2 linked regions of the Nothobranchius furzeri genome follow. The main gene of each other region encodes a partner of the protein of the gene in region 2 in a complex. Links are inferred from orthologs where the notes say so. Each region holds a gene or a part of one and is shown on either strand. Other genes may lie near its edges.

Region 1 (10,801 bases), on a different chromosome or scaffold from region 2:
CGGAGTACGGTTCTGTTCCAAAGGCCGTCCTTGTTCCCCTGCATTCACCAGAACGGACTTTCTGGCGTACTTGCCAAGAACTACTTGTCAAGTATGCAAGAAAGTACTAGCCTACATTGGTATTGAAAAACAGCCCATGTAAAAAAAAAAAACAAGAAATTGAAGTGAAAGTTGAACTCTAAACACAAGAGAGCCCCCTAGTGGCTGGATGCTGTTCATCATTTATCTTAAGTCCCACCTCATTTTTGTAAATAAAACAGATTCCTGACACAGAGAATGATGAGCTGAAAGTCATTTCATTTGATTCAGAAAGATCTTACCGTGCTGCAGCATGTTCTAATATTAAAGGATACTATGCACATTTTTCATATTTTTAAAGAATTTACTTGATCTTGTAAGTGCTAAACATCGACATATATATATATATATATATATATATATATATATATATATATATATATATATATATATATATATATATATATATAAATATATATATATATATATATATGATCCTTTACAGGGTTAATGAAATGTCACTAAGACACTGATCGCCCTCTGTGGCCAGAATACCACACTTGCAACTTCAGAGTGCCGGTCCAGTCCCTGTCGGACTTGAGAAAAAATGAAGCTGACATACCTGGTGCTGCAGTCTGCTTCCTGCGTGTTTTAGATCATGAACACAGCTAATTTGTTTGATTTAACAATGAATCACTCCTCTAGAGACTAATGAAGGCTGGGGAGACATTTACGCAGTTAGAGTAAGGTGTTAAAAAGACAAACTCACAGCAAAGAGAACATTTTTGCTTTTGGTTCTACTAAAGGGACACTAGGGGGTGCTAAAAGCAAGCCAAAACTGCCATGTCTCCTTTTAATTGTTCTTTGATGTTTATCTGCAGGTAACACGCCATGGTGGGACGCTCAGTCCAACATCCAGAGTACACAGACGTCTAGATCCATAAATGCAGCACAGTGTAGGTGAATACATCTTGTCCGTTTGTATGTACCCCAGTATCGTAGTTATTGAAAATATTTTAAATAACAAATCTGAAATAACAAATGAATTCCCTGCAAACTACATGTACCTCTAGCTGTAGGTGAAAGGTGTGAAAGTAAAGAAAAAAAATCTCCCCTCCCTTGATTCCTGACATCTTTATAGCAGTAAGGGGCTACAGTGCATGACCTTTGACCTTTGTAGAAAAAATAGCACCAACATGTTAAATGAGGTTTTTGTTTTTCCTGATGTGATTCTGCAACACAAACTTTGGCAAAGTTTACTAATGTTAAAAAGCAACAGATTTTTTTTTAAATTCGAGTGCCAACTGAGATTTTATTTAGAGGTAATGAAACGTGCACATTGTGCATTCATGCTATGAGAAGACTGCTGACTATTAGGGAATTTTTCACGTTTCCTGTTCTTTCCACTTGTCTCTGGGATGCTTTTTTAAAAATCTCTTTCGCTGAAAATGTTGCCAAACTGCAGCTTGTTTCTGGATCACAGCGAAAGATCACCAGCAAGCTGCATCAGGTTTTAGAAACAGTGGATTTAAAAAAAAAGAGACAGAAACACAAGTCACAAAAGTTGGATTTATGAACAATCAGAGTCTTTTAAATTTTCCTCTTCGTTCAAATCTCAGAAGGTTTGTTTTTGCTCAGCATTTTTTAATATCCTCTTTTTATCACTGAAGTGAATTTCATAAGAGAGAACGTTTCTGTTCCTCTTAAACTTCATCAACAGGCCTACAGTTTCTGAATCTGAATTTTTTGTGCAAATGTTTGTGCACGACTGATAAAATGATCAAGATTAGAGTTTTTCAATTAATAATTCATGCCACTTTATCAGATTAGAACACATGAAGACAAGAACAAACCAACTGACTGATGTGAATTTATTATGAGATTGTATTCAGGAGCATCCTTCCTGACATTTGTTGCTGGTTTGCATGTTAAAATTTTATATATAAGCACAAAAGTAGACATCTATATACAGATACAACTTGTTAAGCTAAAAAACTCATAAATTTTTATTACAAGTTGAGTTTATGCACCGAGGCTGTAAATCTAAACAATCATAAAGGATTAGCATAAAAAAACTGTCTAAAAAACAGCTTTTTGTTTAATGAAATTCTATTTTTAACTTAGATTTTGTTTAAAAAGTAGCTCCATTCCCAAACAAGAATTAATCTCAGCTCAAACTAAGTACGGCAAGCTAATAAAACAGCATTATCAGGGCGGAGACCTGCTTATGGTAGCCAAAAGTTTACTTCTAATCCAAAATCACAGCTCTCCGCGTTCCTGGAGTTATGTGTGGGTGACGAAATTGTGCACTGTACAACAGGCCATAAAAGCCTTTGAAGTCATCGTGTTCTTGACTGTTTTCATGGAAACGTAGTGGGGGCATGTTCACAGCCAAAAGGATCAGCCGGGTCACCTGAGCTCACTGTCTCACACGTGACAGTGTGATCGGAACAAGCATGAATGAGTTACCTGATCAAGGACGAGACAAGAGCTCCGCCGAGGAGGCGCTGATGAGGACTCTGGTCGACTGTAAAAGTCTTTGTTTCTTATTAACTATGAAGGGAGAGTGAAATGATCTGATTATCTAAATAGCTGATAAGACAGAGAGGGTGGAGCTATAGTGAAAACCGTTTTAAGTGGGCTTTGGCAAAGACCTCAGATGAAATGCAGAACATTGTCAGTAAACTTACTTTAACTCACAATAAGTAGAGCTTCTTTTATCTTTTATGGTCTTTAATCTTTTGATGTGGAAATGTGATGAACAATCAATATTTTACCTGTCATAAGTATCTCTTTAAACAGCCTTCGTTTGGTGAAATAAAGAATGATTCTGAATGAGCTAACAGCTAGCTAGCCGGGGCGGGGCCAAAACAAAACAAGTGGGCTGGTGTCATCTTAACTCCAATCTGAAAAACTTTACTGTAAAAAACATTTACATCACCTACATCTGAAATTTATTAGCTTTTAAAATAGAACTATAGAGTTATTTGAAACTAGAAATAGCATCAGTGAGCTAGCAATAACAACTTTGTCATATTATCAGTGTTGCCAACTGTTTTTGATGAATTAATATAACTTTATGCTTTAAGTCATACAATGAAAAATAATTCAACTCTTTGTATTCCGCTTTTTTTCGGACTCCACAACGTGCTCGCAAATCAACAAGATATTAAATCCGATGCCTAAATTATAAATCCATATTTCTGTAGAACTCAATTATCGTTCATTAAAGTAAAAAGAAAAGTGGCAAGTCTAACATGACTGTTGTGGAGCTCCAGCTGCACAAAAATGACCTTCATGCCAAAGTCGCCAGAAGAAGACCTGTCCTGTTTTCACCGCGCACAAGTTCATCATAAATTTGTCAAAGATAATCTGAAAAACTCTGACATATTTTACCAAAACAGCTTCTAAAAAGCATTTAATCATAATAATGAACGTGCTTAGAAGGAGCACAACGTCCTGAAAGCGACATGCCACCAACTGAAATTCACATTATCCCAGTGCTGCAGGCCGTGGCACGTGGGAACGATCCACTTGTGAGACAAACAACCAGGAACCGGCTTCACACATCATCTCACTCTGCCTCTCTCCTTTTCACCTTTTCTCACCGCTGTTCTCCCCGTTGCCTTGGAAACACATGAATGAGTCACCTCATCTCTGTTCATCAGAGGTCAACCAGAGGACCGAATCCCTCTCCATCTGGACAACACGCAGCATGCTTCACCTCTGAGTTTCTATTGATCAGTCTGATTAAGTCATCTTTATTTGTTTGTAATCTAGTTTTTGTTCCACCAAGCGGCTCAATCTGAGTGTCTTCACCTTTAAACATCGACCGTGAGGTTGATTGATCATGAATAAGTGTTGAAATGGTAAGGGTATCACATTTAAACAATGCCAATCAATCTAACGCTGAGACACGACTAGATCTAACTTTTGTTTATGATAGCTTCTGAGTGGCACGATGTGAGCTCACTCCTGATAGATGAACACATTTGAAAGGTGTGCTTTTAATCAAAATCAGCAGCTAAAAGAGAAACCATCACACGTTTTAGAGCAAATCATCCAAAAGTATCAGCGGGTGGGCCGAATTGGTCAACAAGCTGCCTGCTTGGCCTAATATTTGATTGGCCAATCGAACCACCCAAACATCAGATTTTTTTAGGGTTGTGTGAATGCAGCAACTCCAACATTTTGTTTTACTAGCATCAAGTGCATCAGAATTTTAAAAGATTAGTGTTTTTATTTTATTTATTGGAAACATTTCAGAAAATCAGTACCAACAGGTCATCGCTTGTGCAAAAATCGGAAATCGGTATCGGCCCTCTCTGCCATTTATCTCCAGACATGTGAGCCACTTGAGAAGAAAATCCTCTGCGCACAGAGGAGTCAGCTTCTTATTTGGTCATGGTTATGTGCTGATAAGAAGAAAGGTTCGGTTACATCCAGGAAAAGAAGCTCCTGACTTACAGACAAACCATCAACATTTTAGAGCTAACCTCACACAGGTCCAGCTCATTTCTACACACTGCAGTGCCTTGCATTGGACTATTATTTATTTTATGCCTTTTTCGTATTGTTGTATTCATCTTATTTATATATTAGAACCTGCATATAGCTCTTAATTTAGTTACAATAAAACGTTTTAGTTCAAATTCTAACATAAGAGCCCAGCTGCGATTTCAGAATTTCGCTCCAGATAAAATCTGAAGAGCCAAAGAAATAAACAAATAAAACAAACATCATAAAAAGAGAAAGCTTAACTCACCAACTATAATCCCGCACGCGCTCACAAGTCCGATCTCCTTCTTGAGCGCGACTCCTCCAGACTCCTTCTCACCGGCAGCATCCTTGGCAGACCCCGTCGTGCTGCTCCGTTGTCTCGGTCCGTCCGTCATTTTGATGAAACTGTTTAAAAGTTGCGTTTGTTCCTCGCAGCACCCGGTGCTGGCCGTGCGCTCCTCGCAGCTCGTGCGCCAAAAGGTTATGGGCAAAAACAGAAAGGTGCAACAGGGCAATGTCCGCTAAAAAGTGCTTAGCTGATGATTGCTGCTGCAACAACTTCTGAGAACGACTCGTTACTATTTATTATAATAATACGATGAAAACATTAACTGAAAGAGGCGAAACAGCGCTGCAGGATGTGGTTCTTTCTATCTTTGTGTCTGCAGCAGATTGTCTCTTAGAGCAAAAAAGGCGCATATTCCAGTTAAATCCTGGGACAAGAGCTTTTATTTGGGCTTCAGGTGCAACAAGGAAACAAACAAAAAAGAAATAAAAAGCGCTCACAGGTTTCCAGGCATCTCCTTTATCCACAACCAGAAAGCGTGGAGCAGCTGTGGACTACAGAGACATCAAGTCCTCTAATAAGACAACCTATGGCTGGGTACATATACTCTGTCCTTCATGTGATCATAGCACCGCCCCATGTCTGCCTTTGCTTTTCCTCCTTCAGCTGCAGGACCCTCCCTTCTTCTTTAAGTTTCCTCCCATCAAACATCAGCTGTTCCTCCCCTGCACTCAGCCTTCAAACCACAGAAAACACGCTTCTTCCAGCTCCCCGTCTCTATATGTCGTCACAGCATGTGCAGACTTCCATTTATTATTCAAGAGGGAGCAGAAGCCTGAATCTAAATTTAGCTCTTTGCAGACAGACGTCACAACTTTGATTCATGCTGCAGAGCATTGCAGAGGGTGCAGGCTCCTCACAGGGTTCTCTTCAAGTTGTTTTGGTCCAACTTTACCTCGAGGATGGTTTATCATCCACTTATCCTGTAAAAGAATAAAGCTATTTCCTCATTGTGGTCAAATAGTATTTGATTTCAGTGCAGGAAAACACGTTTACGATGCTAACTCTTTAATATATTTATCAGATTTTTTTTCTAATAAAATAGAGACACGGCTATTGTTGGGAGGGATTGGTTGTTTTTGTTCAAGGACACCAGTACAGAGGCTGGGCTCTGGCAAGACTAAGAAACCCTTTTACTCTAATAGCATCTCCTGGGATTTCACAGAAAACGTCACATCCGCCTGAGCGACTGCTCACATATCCTGACTGTACACCAGCTGCTTTTGCCACACAGAATATGGTTCCTGCAGTATTTCCTTTTACATTTAGGGAAAACTCCTGATGCGTTTGGGCGAGTGAGACAGGAAGTGGCACCCTCACTCACTCATGCCGAGTCATCAGGAAACATATCAGTGGTATTTTGCTGACACACAGCACACGCACAGATGCCACTGTCTTTATTGGAGTCTTTAAAAAAGCATCACTGTGTCACCAGCAGTGGTGCTCCTAAGATGTGGCCAGAGGGGGCCATGCCCACCCCAGGTAAAGAGTTAGTGCCCCAATCGTCCCCCAGGGAAACCACCAAAAGCACAAATCCCTGTAGATTTAGTGGATATGTTTATTCTAAAACAATTACATCTGAAACAATAACTGAAATAACGGGCGGCACACTGGTGCAGTGGTAGGAGCTGTTGCCTTGCAGAAAGGAGATTCAAATCCTGGCCTGGGGTCTTTCTGAATGGATTTTGCATGTTCTCCCTGTGGGTTCTATCTGGGTACACCATCTTCCTCCCACAATCCAAAAACATGACTGTCAGGTTGATTGGTTTCTCTAAAATTGTCCTTAGGTGTGTGTGCTTGATTGTTTGTCCTGTGTGTCTCTGTGTCGCCCTGCGATGGACTGGCCTGTCCAGGGTGTACCCCGCCTGCTTTCCAAGAGATTGCTGGAGATAGGCACCAGCCCCTTGCAACCCTGCGTGGATAAGCGGGAAAAGAAAATAGATGGACAATGACTGAAAGTACAATGCACAGCTAGGCTAAACTCAGAGTTACCACTGGCAGTGGCGCAAAAAGTAGGTATGCAGTGCATGTGACACAAAAATATTTGTAGTCTGCATTTCCTGCGTTTAATAACAGCTGCGTTTTTGTCCGTTTTTGCATCTGCACATGACATGACTAATAACAGAGAAGCACGTCAGAGATTAAGTGCCGCTCTGCTTTTATGAACAGAATTTTCTGATTGGCGTAAAGAACACATGATATTATCAATCACAGGTCATGATCTAAAGTGGGTCGGTCCGAGGTTTAAAACTGCCCCGGGCCCAAAGCCCTGCAGATATATTAAGTTTCTATAAATACCAACAACAAATACATAACAGCAGCTGGATTCTGCTTTGTTCCTTAAATTGAGGCACGTGGTTTTGCAGGTTCGCCTATTATGTGTCTGGCCCCCCCTCCAAAAGTAGGTAGTTGTGCCCCTGACCACAGGGGTGCCACCCCAAAATTTCCATTGGCCCCATGAACATTTGTTTTTAGGGCATGACTGGTTACCAGTATCTACATATACAGTTAAAACAACCTAGATCAGTGGTTCCCGTACTTTTCAGACCCACAAAATAGCATTTGTCAAACCATACAACCCCAGACATCTGGGATTTGACAACACAAACATGCAGAAAAACCTAAATGAATTCACCAAACTACTTCAGCTCCTATTCACTTATATCCAGTTATGACAAACTTGATACGCTTTTGTAGCGACTACGCTATAAACACAGAAATTGGTTTTCAGTTTAATTTCGATTTCTAGAAATCATCTCAAGACCCTCTGTGCAGTTCTTGGTGACCCACAGTGGGCTGGTGGCTCAGCTTTGGGAACCACTGACCCAGGAATGGAAATGTAGAAATTAGAACAAGTGTGGTACATTTTCCTACCTGAACGTTAATAATACACACCTCATTTAGCAGGTGTTCACCTCGGGTGATTAAGAGTTCTTACCTTGCTGCTACATGTTCAAAAACAAATGAATCCTCTACACTCTAACAAATGAAATGTTGAATGTCGGCTGGTTCCACTAAACCTACTTTTACTTTCGACGCACCAACAAATACTAATATAAGTATTTATATTTAAGCATCTAGGTGTGGTGGAACCAGCTGACATCACCTGGTAAAAATAATTTCAACATATCATTTTGTACAGTGTGTGTTTAGTTGTAATATGATGCTTACAAACACCATAACTAGAGAACAGGCGAGGTTGAGAGACTAAGTGGGACATTCTGAGTGTGCAGAGGGACAGAGACGTATTGGTATAACTCTTTTGTAATTTAATGTTTAAGTAAGAACATATGTAGTCCAAAATTTAAAAAAAAAACACTCAAATTGAACATGGTTTGATGTTTTGAGAAATGTTGCCCTCCGTGGAAGACATTCAGGACTATTACGTTTAATTAAATTATCCTCATCAGAATTACTGAGAGCTTTTGGAGGAGGATGCTCATGTTGATAAAAGGGTCTCCAACACTCACAAAGTACTTAAAAAGTCACATCAAGTCCCAATCTTGTTCAAAGATTTGATTTTTCTTAGAAAAAAATGCAAAAGCAGTTTTCTTTTGACGTGATCAAACACCACGATGCTCTTTGTTCTCACGGGTGTACTGATGGTTGCAGAATGTGTTCTTGATCATCTTCGCTCACTGATTAAAACCAAACTGCCTCTTTTCTTTTATGATTGCTTGTTTTCTTCTAATTGTATCATCTCAATCAGGTAAAATGTGTTGGTAATGGGTTTAGGAAGTGGCTTTCACCATTTGTGCTGATTAGGTGAAGAAGTGATGCAGTTAGATAAAATGTTTATTATTCCCCACTGATCATCTTAGTAAAATAAAGTCCTTTATTTCCTTCAGTTTGTTAGAATTTCACTAAGCATTAAATATATTTGTAAGAAATGTTTAAGAAATGTTTTTAATCCTTTTAAGCTTTGCTCTCATCAATAAGCAGCTGAAAAGATCCCCGTTTTTACTAATCATGTGTCCTGCGTATGCATTGTGAAGTCAGAAGCCTGTCTGTAGAGTCAAAGGTCCTCCTATCAATGAATTTGTCCTGTTGAGTTGGGTGTGTGTACCTTTGATTAGCTCACTGGAGCATTTGAGCAAAAAGATAATGTGAGGAAACGTGCTAAAGACAGCAGAGGCAAGAGGAGCTGACAGACACTATGGTAGTTTCCCTTATAAAAAGTGAATAAATAGTGTATAGATACCTTATTCGTTAAACTGTTAATACTTTATAAATCATTAAAAAATACCTAAAAGAGACCAGGTTTTTGCCAAATAATGAGCGGGGTCTGTTACCCTATTGGCCTATGTTTCATTTAGAGTTGCTAAAATTAAACCTTTCAGACTACCTTGTAAGAACAATGGCCGCTTGCAACCTGCTCAAACTAGCCGTTAGCCTGTTCATCCAAGGTCATGCGTCGTGCTGAAGAGGAATTCCTCTAAGAAGATGTCAAAAATAAATATATACATACACACTTAACAAAAATATAAACACAACACCTTTGTTTCTGCTCCGATTTTTCATGAGATGGACTTAAAGATCTAAAATTCATTCCAGATACACAATATTACCATTTCTCTCAAACATTGTTCACAAATCAGTCTAAATGTGTGATAGTGAGCACCTGTGCTTTGCTGAGATAAGCCATCCTACCTCACAGGTGTGCTACATCAAGATGTTGATCTGACATCATGAGTAGTGCACAGGTGTACCTTATACTGCCCACAATAAAAGGCCTCCCTGGAATTTGCAGTTCTGTCTCACAGCAAAATGCCACAGATAACTTGAGGGAGTGTGCAATTGGCATGCTGACAGCAGGAATGTCAACCAGATCTGATGCTTGTGCACTGAATGTTCATTTCTCCACTATCTATCTTTAAGTCCATCTCATGAAAAATTGTAGCAGAAACAAAGGTGTTGCGTTTATATTTTTGTTAAGTGTGTGTGTGTGTGTGTGTGTGTGCGCGCGCGTGTGTGTGTGTGTGTTTGTGTGTGTGTAACACAAACAATACCTGCACTCTTACACCAACAAGGACACCTCGCACAGCATAAAAATAATTCAAACGGTTGTTGTAAAAACATCATTTGAGTCAGAGTGACGATTCCATGTTATCCAAACGAGGTTACTTTTGAAAAAAATCTCTGCTTGCTTTTATTTGATCTCCAGATCTCTTTGCTCATTCCATTATTTCCTGCAGAAATCATTTTTAGATCAATAACATCTGTGCGCTAAAGAATGCATCCATACAAATGGTGGCACAGGTAATAATCGGAAGGTTGAAGGCTTGAGTCCACTCAGTTTGTCACTGTCGTTGTGTCCTTGGGCAAGACACTTTACCCCCCTTGCTTGCTGGTGGTGGTCAGAGGGACTGGTGGCGGCAGTGCTCGGTAGCCTCGCCTCTGTCAGTGCGCCCCAGGGCAGCTGTAGCTACATTGTAGCTCATCTCCACCAGCGTGTGAATGTGTGTGTGAATGGGTGAATGACTGATTTTGTTGTAAAGTGCCTTGAGGGGTTCCAGGACTCTAGAAGGCGCTACATCAAATAGAGGCCATTTACCATTTACAAATGCACACACATCTGTCCTGACCAGGTGACGGATCGAATGGTGTAAGGAGCTGATATTCTCCTGATAGAGCTGTTAATTATTAATCCTGCTGCTTCAGGTTGTTTGCTGCTCAGTGGCTGGAAAACTGGAACAATAACCTGCAAACACAAAGGTGGTGACTGTGGTGCCAGGCTGAAGAAAAAAAGCAAGATGGTGAGGGTAAAATGAGCTCAGGAAGGTGACTTTGGATCTTGCTGAAAGCCAAAACACATCTCACAGAGGAACACGCTTCCTAATTGCTGCTGGAACTTTCTTTTTGTCCTAACCAAAACAAAACTTGCCAAGAAAAATGTTTTAAAGTACTTTTATATACAGATAATGTAAAGGTAAAGAT
Region 2 (10,488 bases):
TCCTCTCAACATCTGTGACATACTTTCACACACCCGTACGCACCGAAACAACAGTAAACATCTCATCTGAGATCATCTCCAGCCCAGACACAAACACAACGCTTGTAACTTTGTTTAAAAAGAGAGAGAGCTCACAGAAGTCAGTCCAGACCAGTTTATTGGTGTTCAGCGCTGTTCTCCTCGAGCCCAGAGTAAAACGTACATTTGTGGGAGGAAACCCGTCCATGGAAACTTTTAAATAACAATAATGAAAGCTGCTAGAGGAATGCCCTACGAACAGAGGAATGTGTCACACGTCTGAACAGCGAGTCGGACAACGCCACCTTAAAAACAGGAAAACACGTCACACTTTAAAAGGTTTCTGAACAGTTTTCCCCTCCTGCTTTCCCAACACAGTTACAGCGCCGTAAAAAAATAAAATGTGGCCTTGTTCCTATGGATCGACACTGCTACTGAGCTTTTTCATGACAACTGATCTGAGCTGCGGGGCCCGTTCCTTCATCTGGCGCCATCTTCAGCCCGAATAAGGAAACTGCAGGAGCACCGCCTGCTCTGGTCCTAATGTGAGCGAGGCCAGGCTCACTAAAGAGTCTTCCTCCAACTCTTTATCAGTGGTCAGTTTCACTTTAGCTACGTCCGGTAGCTTCACTTCATCTGCAGACACAAAATCAGCCGGATTAATAAAAAGAAGATGGCTACAGCAGGTTAGCCAGGTGTTAGCGCAGAGCCGTGACTCACCTGAAGACAGGCTAAGCTTTAGTTCTAAGGGCTGCGTTCCCAAATTAAAGGCTGTGATGTATCTTTCACTCTGGTCCCAGACACGGAGGAACGCGAGGGATGAGGCGGAGGAGGAGAGAGGGTAGTAGTCTCCGTGGAGAAGGGAACGCTCTTTGCCTCGGAGGTCACTGAGGGATTTAAACCACGTCCTTACAGCTATGTGCTCCGTCCGATTGGCCTGTTCACGTGAGGGGAGGAGACTTTAACATGCTGCGGATACCTGAGAGCAGATCAGTGGTCGTCTAATCTAGTCTTACCTCTGCTGCTTCGTCGACGGGAGCTTCTTTGGAGGGTTCTTTATCCAAGTCCCAAATCATTTTAGGACTTTCTGAGCCCTGGAGGACAAATGAAGGTCATATGGTGGACTAGCTGCACGACTGTTAAATGTTCCTGGCTTACATCTCCCGCCTGAAGGCCGATTTCATCTCCGTAGGTGAACACCGGCGTTCCGGGTAACGTGAACAGCAGCAGCTGGTACAGACGGATCAGGCTCGGAGACGTCGCCAGTTTAGACAGACGCTCCAGTTTGCTGGCACCGACGCCCCACGCCACACTTCTCTGCTGGGAGTGAAGAGCGTCCACGTCTCTGATGCGCTGCACATCTGGACGACCGCAGGAAGCGAGTCAGAATTCACGTTCAAGACGAAAAGGGCGTTGACCAACAGAAAACTTACTGTCGCCGGTGCTGGTGAGGAGGTCAGGAAGGATGAGGTCCGCACCAGTGGAGTTGACCAGCTGAGACACCTGTGTGGCTGAAAGACCTTGGACCACACCCATCAGCGCTCTGAGACAAGGAAATGCTCCGTTGGTTATTTACAAAGAGAGAGAGAAACTTTTAAACGCTTCTCCACTAGGTGTCGCAGCACCCTGACGGTGGAAAACCATGACTGGCCTGTTGTTTTTTCTGGCTGACCAACCGTTTAACCTCAGCCAGTGGAATGCCTTTGATCCCGGTCAGCTGTTATTCCAGCGATTCTCAGACCGAGCTGCCTAAAAACGAGCCAACCCAAACTTCCAACAGCGTGCTGGCCTCAGCCTCCAAACATTCTTCTAAACGACACAAACCGGATTTTCTGCACCGACTGCTCACGCGGCTAAGAGGAGGAAGAGGCGCTCACCTTTTCTTCGTGTCCTCGGTGCGGTTCCCTTGGACGGCGGCCTGCAGTTTGGGCCAGTCGGTGAAGTTTGAGGCGAGAGAGAAACCTGACACCTTGATGCCATCGACGCCCAAATTCATCCAGTACTCCGCTGCAGCCTGAAGAGGATACGAGCATTTCAGCCACAGCAGCTCCACTAGGTTATACCAGTTATCCATCACACCTAGGGATGGGTACCTTTGACATTTGATTCGATCCGGTACTAATTCCCGGTACCTAGGAATCGATACCGGTACTTAACGGTACCAATTTTAGATACTTTTGATTGTTTAATATTTTAATTCTCTTTTATAATTATATTTTTCTCAATATATAACCATATTTGATAAATATCACGATAAATAACATACAAGTTTGTATTTTAACATCGTCCTTGTAGTTTTATAAGCTGATAATTAAACTGAAGCAAACATCTTTACTGTGAACTAAATTTACTGTGTATCTTCATTCCTTTTGCCGTCCTTTTTCATTTGATTTTTCCTACTGGGAAGTTAGAATTTCCGAGGAGAAAGCGAACGCACCATTAGCTGATAACAATGGTGGCAATGGAAGCTAACATATCAAGCTAACGTTATCTTAAACTGTTTATTTAGCTGCTGGAGCAGATTAAAACGATGATGCCTCACACTTAGATCGTTGTCGCTGGTTTCATCTTCACCCAATCACCCGTCGCATTTAGTAAAGTGAAGCCAAACTTTAGAGCGCGTTCATGTTCTTCTAGTCGGAAATTCGGAGTTCCGAGGAGAAAGCGAACGCACCATTAGCGGAACGGAAGCTAACATATCAAGCTAACGTTATCTTAAACATTTTATTTACCTACCGGAGCAGATTAACATGAGGATGTCTCACTTAGATCGTTGTCGCTGGTTTCATCATCACCCAGTTACCCATCACATTTAGTGAAGTGGACCCAAGCGTTAGCGTGTGTTCTTTCTACCATGCTGCTCTGTTTACAACTGGCTCGCAGCGACCGACGACATAACGCTCTTGCGCATGCGCAGCTGTCTAGGCAAGTTCTCGTTATGAAGGACGTGTACCGAAACGAGGCACCGTTTCAAATGACGTGAATCGGTGCTCAGTCGGTACTGTGGAATTCGGTCGATACCTTAAAAAGTAACGAATTCGGTACCCATCGCTACTCACAACGGTGTCTCACCTTGACTTTGTCCACGATATCGTTGTTATTGTCGGTGAACCAGGGGGCGGATCCCCGGTAGTTGGGCGTCAGGTCAAGCACCACAGAAATACCTTTAACAGAATAAACCAACAGTAAACGTCTGGGGGGGGGGGGGGTAGAATTTCACCAAAGCTGGGCCTTTAAAGGAAAACAACCCACCCTTCTTGTGGGCCTTGGCCAGCACAGACACCAAGGCTTTCTCCGTCCCCTGGGTGGGGTTGATCTGTGTCAGCTCCAGCGTGTTGGGCTCATCAGCCTGGACGGTGTGGAACGGACCCAGAACCAGCCCTTTAACCTTCATCTGGGTCAGGTGGTCCAACTTAGCTTCCAGGCCTAATGCAGGACAAATCAAATAACACGTCGATGGATGTTCCACGCCAGTAAGAATTTCACATCGGGCAAAACAACAAACAAACAAACAACAATGAGACCTAGAGCTGACGTGTGAGAAGCAGCAGGGTCTAAAAGGCTACGAGTGGACATTAGGGGTGAACGGAGCAGCTTTCTTTGTTTTAGAGACCAGTATTGACTTAGAGCAGGAGTGTGTGATGTGAACGAGCATCCACACCCTCTGCTGGCCACTGGAGCACAAGGAGGTCCTTTTTATGCCGGAACAATCAGGTCACGTGTGGGTTTTGGAGTCCTTCCCAAAGCCTGCTGGGAACAAGCGTTCCCCCTTAATTCACTCCGAGCTCAGAACATTCCGTCCTTCCTACCGTCCCCTCATTAAAGATAATACACCTGTATTATAAAGTAATAAGGTGTTAAGGAAGCACGCGTACTAAAGTACAAGGTTGCTCAACTTCAACTCGGATCTGATTAGGAGGTCTAAAGAGACGACTCGCTCTTCTTTCGTGTCCCTTTGGCCGTTAAGTCATTCAGTGCCAGCCAAGTCAGCAGTTTAGTATCAAGCTGGCTGATACAGGCGATACTGAGCGGAGGCAACTCCACACACAGTCACAAGACTCCCCTCGAATGAATCAGCCCACACTTCCTCTGAATCCTGACACAAAAACAGAAGACTGGGTCGTTTACTCTAAAACCAAACGCACTTTACCTTCCATTCCTTCAGAAAAGGCATCAAGGTCAGGGATCTGATACAGAGGTCCTTCGTTCCACCAGTTCATCTCCGGGATGGGTTTGCAGCGAGGGGCCTGCACAATGATTACAATCGCTCCAGCCAGCATGCCGACCCAGCCCAACCAGAACAGGACCAGCAGCACCCAGCGGGTTCGCACCCACCTGCACCAACAACGGGAAGTGTTTAGATGGGCACACACACACACACAAACACACTTTGGTTGTGTGATGGTTGTGAGCGGTTACCCTGGAGTGCCCGCGACCTTCATCAGCTCATCCTTGGATAGGCCGGTGAATGTGACCTCATCCTCAGGGACCTTCAGCTTCACGCTGCCGTTCTTCTCACTCACCGGTGGACCGTCTCCGGTCATGGGCTGCTTCTCAGGGTCCACCTCATTGAGCTTCACCTCCTCCATGTCGATCTCTGTGTCCTTACTCATGATTTAATCTGATCTGGGGGACAAAGGAGGGACACTGAGAATATGGTTTTGTTACTGGGTGAGAACATACCTGGCAGAAAGGTGGATTAAAAAGCTACAGGTGTCTACATAATTTTCATCCGGATTATCTGGTGGTTTGATCCTAGAACAGAGGCTAGACAGGCGTTGCTGCAAGCAACAGACCGTATTTGACCTCGTTAACGACTGATGAGCTAAATTGTGAAATAAAACACATAACTGCCGTTTACACGTTATTGTTAGAGTTTATACGGAGCTGGTTAAAGCTGAGACAGCATGGAAAGCGATAATCAGTCCACAAGGTGTTCCCGTTGAGCGGGTTTAGCAGATGATGAAACGTCTCTACCGGCTTACACAGCCGGCGGAAACGCCGCAAGACCTTCACAATAACAGTTCGAATATTTTAAAAACCATTAACACAGTTTTAAATTTAAGATATTTTGTTAATAATTTCATTCAATATTAATATGAAACAGAATCTGTATTTAAACTAAAGAAAATTCGCACTGAAATTTGTAAAAAGAAAGTTAGGTTGTTTTAATTTGTCATACCGGAAGTGAGCCGGCGTTTTGACACGCTCGTTAATCATCGTGTAAATGAGGAAATAATTATTAGAAAACGACTGTTCTTGTTATACATCACAGTTAAAGACAAGAAAATATCGTGTGCTAAACAAGTGACACCAGTCTGCCAGTGTTTTGTTAAAACCGGCAGCAGTAACTGCGTAAGGCGCAAGCGCACGTGCCAAATGACACTCCGTTTTCCCCATTCAACCCATTTACCTAAGCTACTAGCTAATAATACGATCGTAATAATGTATACATTACCTGTAGAAGTCCGTGTAGGATCCGTCTGTGTTTTACTGTACGTGTTTGAATCGTTTTGGCTCTGGGTGTGTACCGTGATAGAGGAGAGCAGTGTATTTGTAGCTACGCATAAACCCCACCCACAACAGGAACTGGCCAATCAGATGCGTCCTTTTTGATATCTTCCTAGAAAAATAAAAGAACAAACATGAAGAATTGTTCTAATTTAAATCTCAAACCCTCCTTTTTGGTGGATTCATGTACTCGAGTTGCTAAAACCTACGGAATTTTATTTTTTTATCCTGACGCCGTTTTCAGTTTGGAAGTGTTTAGGTCGAGTACAAAATGTACAATTCTCTGATTCACCATTGCAGCATAGCAAAACAACACAGTATGCTTGTCTACCAGGACGATGTTTAACTAAACGTGAAACCGCTTTGATTAGACGTGTTTTGACTGGAATACAAACAGCTAATGTGCTTAGTGATTGTTCTAGAACACAAAAGACCTTTAAACCTTTGAACTGTAGAGATTTTCACTCTTTCTTTCATTGATTTAATTTATTTGTGATCACATTATATCTCTCTCAATTTACTTTCTCTGTATTTGCATAACAGATAATAACCTTTCGTAGAATAATGTGATGCTCACAAACTCATGAGAACATGTATTTTTTCCTGTTCTGACCTTATTTTTGATTTCCATCCATCCATCCATTGTCTGAACCCGCTGTGTCCACGCAGGGTCGCGGGGGGGCTGGTGCCTATCTCCAGCGGTCAATGGGCATTCAGGCGGGGTACACCCTGGACAGAGAGCCAGTCCATTGCAGTTATTTTTGATTTCCAGAAAATAAAAAAGAAACAGTGCGTTCTTCTATGTAAGGCATTAAAGAGCATGTTGTTCTTAAATACTTTGTCTGAAGTTGACTTTTTGCAGGCAACAGAAAGAGTGCTAAATTCCTGGGAATAGCTGTGATTTGAGCTAAAAACAACGCCTTCCTGGTGCTGCCTGTGCTTTGAAGAAATTCCCAGCTGTTGTTGACCTTCACTGAGTTACAGTAAAAACAGACTTTTCACAAAAAGCAGCAACTTTGCTTGGATCCTCTACAGAACCAGGGTTGCATGGACCTAATAGTAACTTTTTTTGCATTAATAATTTTCCTGTGAAGTCATATTTTTAATCTAAAGTTTTAACATTTGGGAAAATAACCGACTTGCAAGTTTTGTAAGTTGCAGTAAGCTGCAAACTCCCCTCCATACAGGACCTGTACACCTCTAGGACACTGAGGCGTGCAGGTCGGATAATAGCTGACTCGTGTCACCCTGGACAGTCTCTTCGACTCGCTCCCATCTGGCAGAAGGCTCAGATCCATTCGGACCAGAACCTCTCGCCACAAAAACTGTTTCTTCCCCTCTGCAGTTGGACTTTTGAATGAAAATCCTAGGGCAGCCCACTCAAGTCGATTGGTCCCAGTCACGTGACCCGATGCTGTGCTTGAAACATTCAGCAAACACTCGGATAAGTACCTACACGGGGTAGATAGCTGCTTCTCTAATTCTTGCCACTTTTTACATGAATAATTTTATCATGAGTGTTTTATTAGTTCTTATATTTGCTTATCTCTCAATTAATTTTTTTCTATCTTACCTTCTGCACCAAAATACTGCAGCAATTTCCTAATGTTGTGACTTGGCACACCTATGGCAACAAAACCTTCTGATTCTGATTCTGAAACAGACCGACGGGATTGCGGGTTGTTGTCTAATGAGTTAAATGGAAGTATTTTAGATGATGAAACTACCTCTGACTCGTAAACATCTTTACTGTTTTTATTATTTATCCAGCTCATTTAATGTGTCGCCTCTGGATCTTTTTACTCCCTAAAGAGGTAAACATCCTTCCTGCTGCTGCGGATGATTGCAGGAACAAGCTCCACCGCTCTGCTTCACGTGCCTGGATCTCTGCATGTGGGCGCCTGTTCTGTTTCTTCAAATCAACTTAACAATCAAATGATCTTTTGCTGGGATTAGTAGGGTCACGAGACTGTTGTTATCACATACATGTCACTTTTATACACGGATGTTGTTCTTAGTGGAGTTCAAAATGGCCTCCATGGGAGAGTTCCAAGGTCAAAACCTCTGAGGACCAAAAGCAACAACAAAGACGATTCGGACTCTTGCTAAGCAGCAGCTTTTGGGAAAGTGTTTTTGTGTTCTGATGCAACAAACGTGGAACCATTTGGAAGGTGTGTGTCCCATTCCATCTGCAGTAAAGCTAACACTAAAGCATCATAGCTACGCTCAGACATGGTGGTGGTAGTGTGATGGTCTGGGGCTTCTTTAGGACCACTCGCTGAATTATCACTATTTTGTAAAGAAAACCGGGAGATAATTCATTACCGCTTTAATAAGCACACATATCTTCTGGGAGTTACAACCGGTTCTTAAAGAGCAAGTTCACTGAGACACATTTTTTTATTTTATATTTTTCACTATTTTACAAATAAAATCATCACTCTGAGTTTGAGTTTGAGCTAAACATGAAAATAGTGTATTTCCTGCATTAGCCGTTGATAAAAATAGACGAGGAAACGCTTGGATTAAAAAAACCGAACAGATTTATGTCACACTCATGGATGTAGTTGGGGGGGGGGGGGGGAAGTCAACTTTTTTCCAGGTAAATTTACGTCCTCTGCACTTTTTACCAGCCAAAAACAACATTATGCTTAATTAAATACACTGGTTGAGCACTATGACTAAGTGGAAAACAACCACTTGTGTTAAAGCCTGTTTCCCATTAGAACTGTCCATAAGCTCATCTATTGGCTCTGCTGATACTTGCTAACGTGTCATTGGACGTTCCTGCCACCTGTGTACTTGACAGTTCTGCATACCTGACGTTGCATAAAAGAGCCTGTAGTTTTACACATATTTGCTGTATACTTACTGTAAAGACCCCCCTGGTCCTGCCGGTCGCGTCCCCCCACTTCTAAAGTCAAAACTACGTCCATGGTCACACTGAAAATTAGCTTTCATGGACTCGGCCATCTTGGTTCCTGACAGGAAGGGAATTGTTGATTAAGCCCTATTAAGCCTCCAAGAAAGAGCAGAGCACATTTTGGCTAGTAGAAGCTAACCGTTAGCATCAGCAACATGGCAGAACTCTTTCAGGCTTGTGTTATTAGTGGATATAAAACATTGGAGGCTGTGGAAGAGTTACGTTGTCATTAGCCAATCATTAGCATATCAGGAAATAAAAGCAAGAAGCACTCTAAGTCCTACTTTTTTATGCTCCCATCTAATCAGACTAAGAGCGCCAGAGCTTGTTTTCCCACGGAGGCCCACTGGCAAGGCATTAATTTATACCAGAGACCACTGCAAATGCATTAAAATAACAAGTGAACTTTGTATTTGGGTTTCGGGGCGATTACTTGTACACCAGGTTGGCTGGAACAGCTCCTGTTTCTATAAAAATGAAGTATTTCTAAACAACATTTTGTATTTGCTCGGGTTATCTTTGTCTGATTTTGAAATGTGCTCGCTGATCCGAAACATTTGGCTGCCAAAAATAGCAAAGCAGAAGAAATCTATGAGGAGACGACTAGTTTTTCCACAACAAGGCATAAATAAGTCTTGCTACACAGCAACCTTTAGCAACCCTGGAGGGCGAGCGAACTCTGGCTGAGCGTCAGAAACGTTTGGACTTGAAGCTGAGCACGTGCCCTCTAATGAAAACCGTTTGCTTCCAGGAATAAAAGGTGTGGTTTAGTATTTAGCAGCTGTTTGTCTTTATTTAGACATGGTTCCATAAATCTGATCTGTAGATTCTAGTCCCACCGTCTGGTCCTCTCTCTCTCTCTGTGTGTGTGTGTGTTGATCACGTGCAGGCAGAGTTCGGCTGAGCTGCTCACTGATGTGAACACAGTGTGCTGGTGATCTGCAGGGAGTGAACGGTGGTGAAACGGTGTAAAGGAGACCGTGTTTTTCCTCAGCTGACCTTCACGTTACTCCGTTTCCAGGCATCAGTGTTGAGCTCCAGGATGTTTGGTTGAACATGGGAAGAATGAAAAGAAGATTGTCTGTGTCGACTAAAATTTAGGTGATGGGAGGAGCCGGAGAAATGAGGGGAAAGGGCATGGGGTGAGTGAGGACGGAGAGGGGATGGGTAAACTTGTTTATGAGCTGAGGGTGAAGCAGAAATAATACTGAAATGGACTCCAGGGATGGTGTCTCAGTTACAGCCGGTTTTCACGTAGAATAAACGTACAAGGAAAACATCCAGGAAGCTTTTAAAACCTGCAAATGTTTTGGGTTTTAGGCATTGGTAACAGAGAAAAGTAAATATGTTTATTGACATATCTGATGTTTTTCAGATTTTAGGAGAAGAGATCCAGGATGCTAGCTTGTAGCTCACAGGAGGAGCGGAGGGCCACACTGCCGCTGACCAGACCTTCCTGTTTTCTGTGAGGCAGGAGGGGGTTAAGCTGCAGCTCTACGCTCCAGGGTCAAAAAAAAAAAACCACAAAAAAGTGCTCCGTAAGAGGAAAAACATCCACGTCAACATGTTCGAAATGAGGAAGCAAGAAGTTTAAATGTTCTTTATTCCTGCAAGTGCACACAGCCAGAAAACGTCCTCTAGAGCCCAGGTCTGAGCCGCTGAGAGGGTTCGTTTAGTCAGACACGTGCTCGGTGAAAAAAACCAGACCGGTTTGGACCGGTCTGTGTGAGGATTCATGTGTTTCAGGATAGCTGCAACCCACACACACACACACACGCACACGCACACGCACACACACACACACACGTGTTTCAGAGACGATGTCGGTCGATTCAGAGGAACAAGACAAAATGTTGTTTGTTGGTGTTTGTTTATTGATTTGTTCACGCTGTTCCCATCAGGTTTCAGCTTTGAGACTCGGCCAGCGTCGGACTGCTACATGTACACACGTGACTCGGTGCGACTGCAGTCGTTTGAGAATCATTTACAGAGAGAAATCAGAGGCGAGCCTTCTTATAAGCTCATAAACCACTCAG

Evidence for each region. The genes of interacting proteins can lie anywhere in the genome.
Region 1: the proteins of slc3a2a (region 2) and slc7a8a are in contact, whole or in part, in a cryo-EM structure (PDB 7CMI), measured with the Homo sapiens proteins. The link is inferred for Nothobranchius furzeri from reciprocal best matches to the Homo sapiens genes SLC3A2 and SLC7A8. Residues at the interface, in NP_002385.3 of Homo sapiens: Thr162, Gly163, Leu164, Ser165, Lys166, Glu167, Leu170, Ala173, Gly174, Trp178, Arg182, Leu185, Phe189, Trp190, Trp193, Met196, Leu197, Gly199, Ala200, Ile203, Ile204, Ala207, Arg209, Cys210, Arg211, Leu213, Lys532, Arg534, Asp558, Gln559; in NP_036376.2 of Homo sapiens: Leu147, Leu150, Phe151, Pro152, Thr153, Cys154, Phe155, Pro157, Ser159, Gly160, Leu163, Leu164, Ala166, Ile167, Leu170, Leu171, Trp174, Gln294, Ser352, Met356, Val359, Glu481, Thr484, Leu485, Gln488, Lys489, Met490, Cys491, Val492, Val493.

Annotation. Positions count from the first base shown.
Region 1 is NC_091742.1:59,610,061-59,620,861, forward strand, and holds the start of slc7a8a (solute carrier family 7 member 8a), read right to left. Parts: upstream 5,135-10,801; 5' UTR 4,914-5,134; coding exon 4,784-4,913; intron 1-4,783. UniProt on the Homo sapiens protein: Associates with SLC3A2 to form a functional heterodimeric complex that translocates small and large neutral amino acids with broad specificity and a stoichiometry of 1:1.
Region 2 is NC_091754.1:59,489,482-59,499,969, reverse strand, and holds slc3a2a (solute carrier family 3 member 2a), read right to left. Parts: upstream 6,263-10,488; 5' UTR 6,143-6,262; intron 5,642-6,142; 5' UTR 5,477-5,641; intron 4,645-5,476; 5' UTR 4,632-4,644; coding exon 4,438-4,631; intron 4,354-4,437; coding exon 4,169-4,353; intron 3,445-4,168; coding exon 3,271-3,444; intron 3,183-3,270; coding exon 3,091-3,182; intron 2,033-3,090; coding exon 1,896-2,032; intron 1,562-1,895; coding exon 1,452-1,561; intron 1,380-1,451; coding exon 1,177-1,379; intron 1,113-1,176; coding exon 1,035-1,112; intron 956-1,034; coding exon 739-955; intron 655-738; coding exon 515-654; 3' UTR 141-514; downstream 1-140. UniProt on the Homo sapiens protein: Acts as a chaperone that facilitates biogenesis and trafficking of functional transporters heterodimers to the plasma membrane.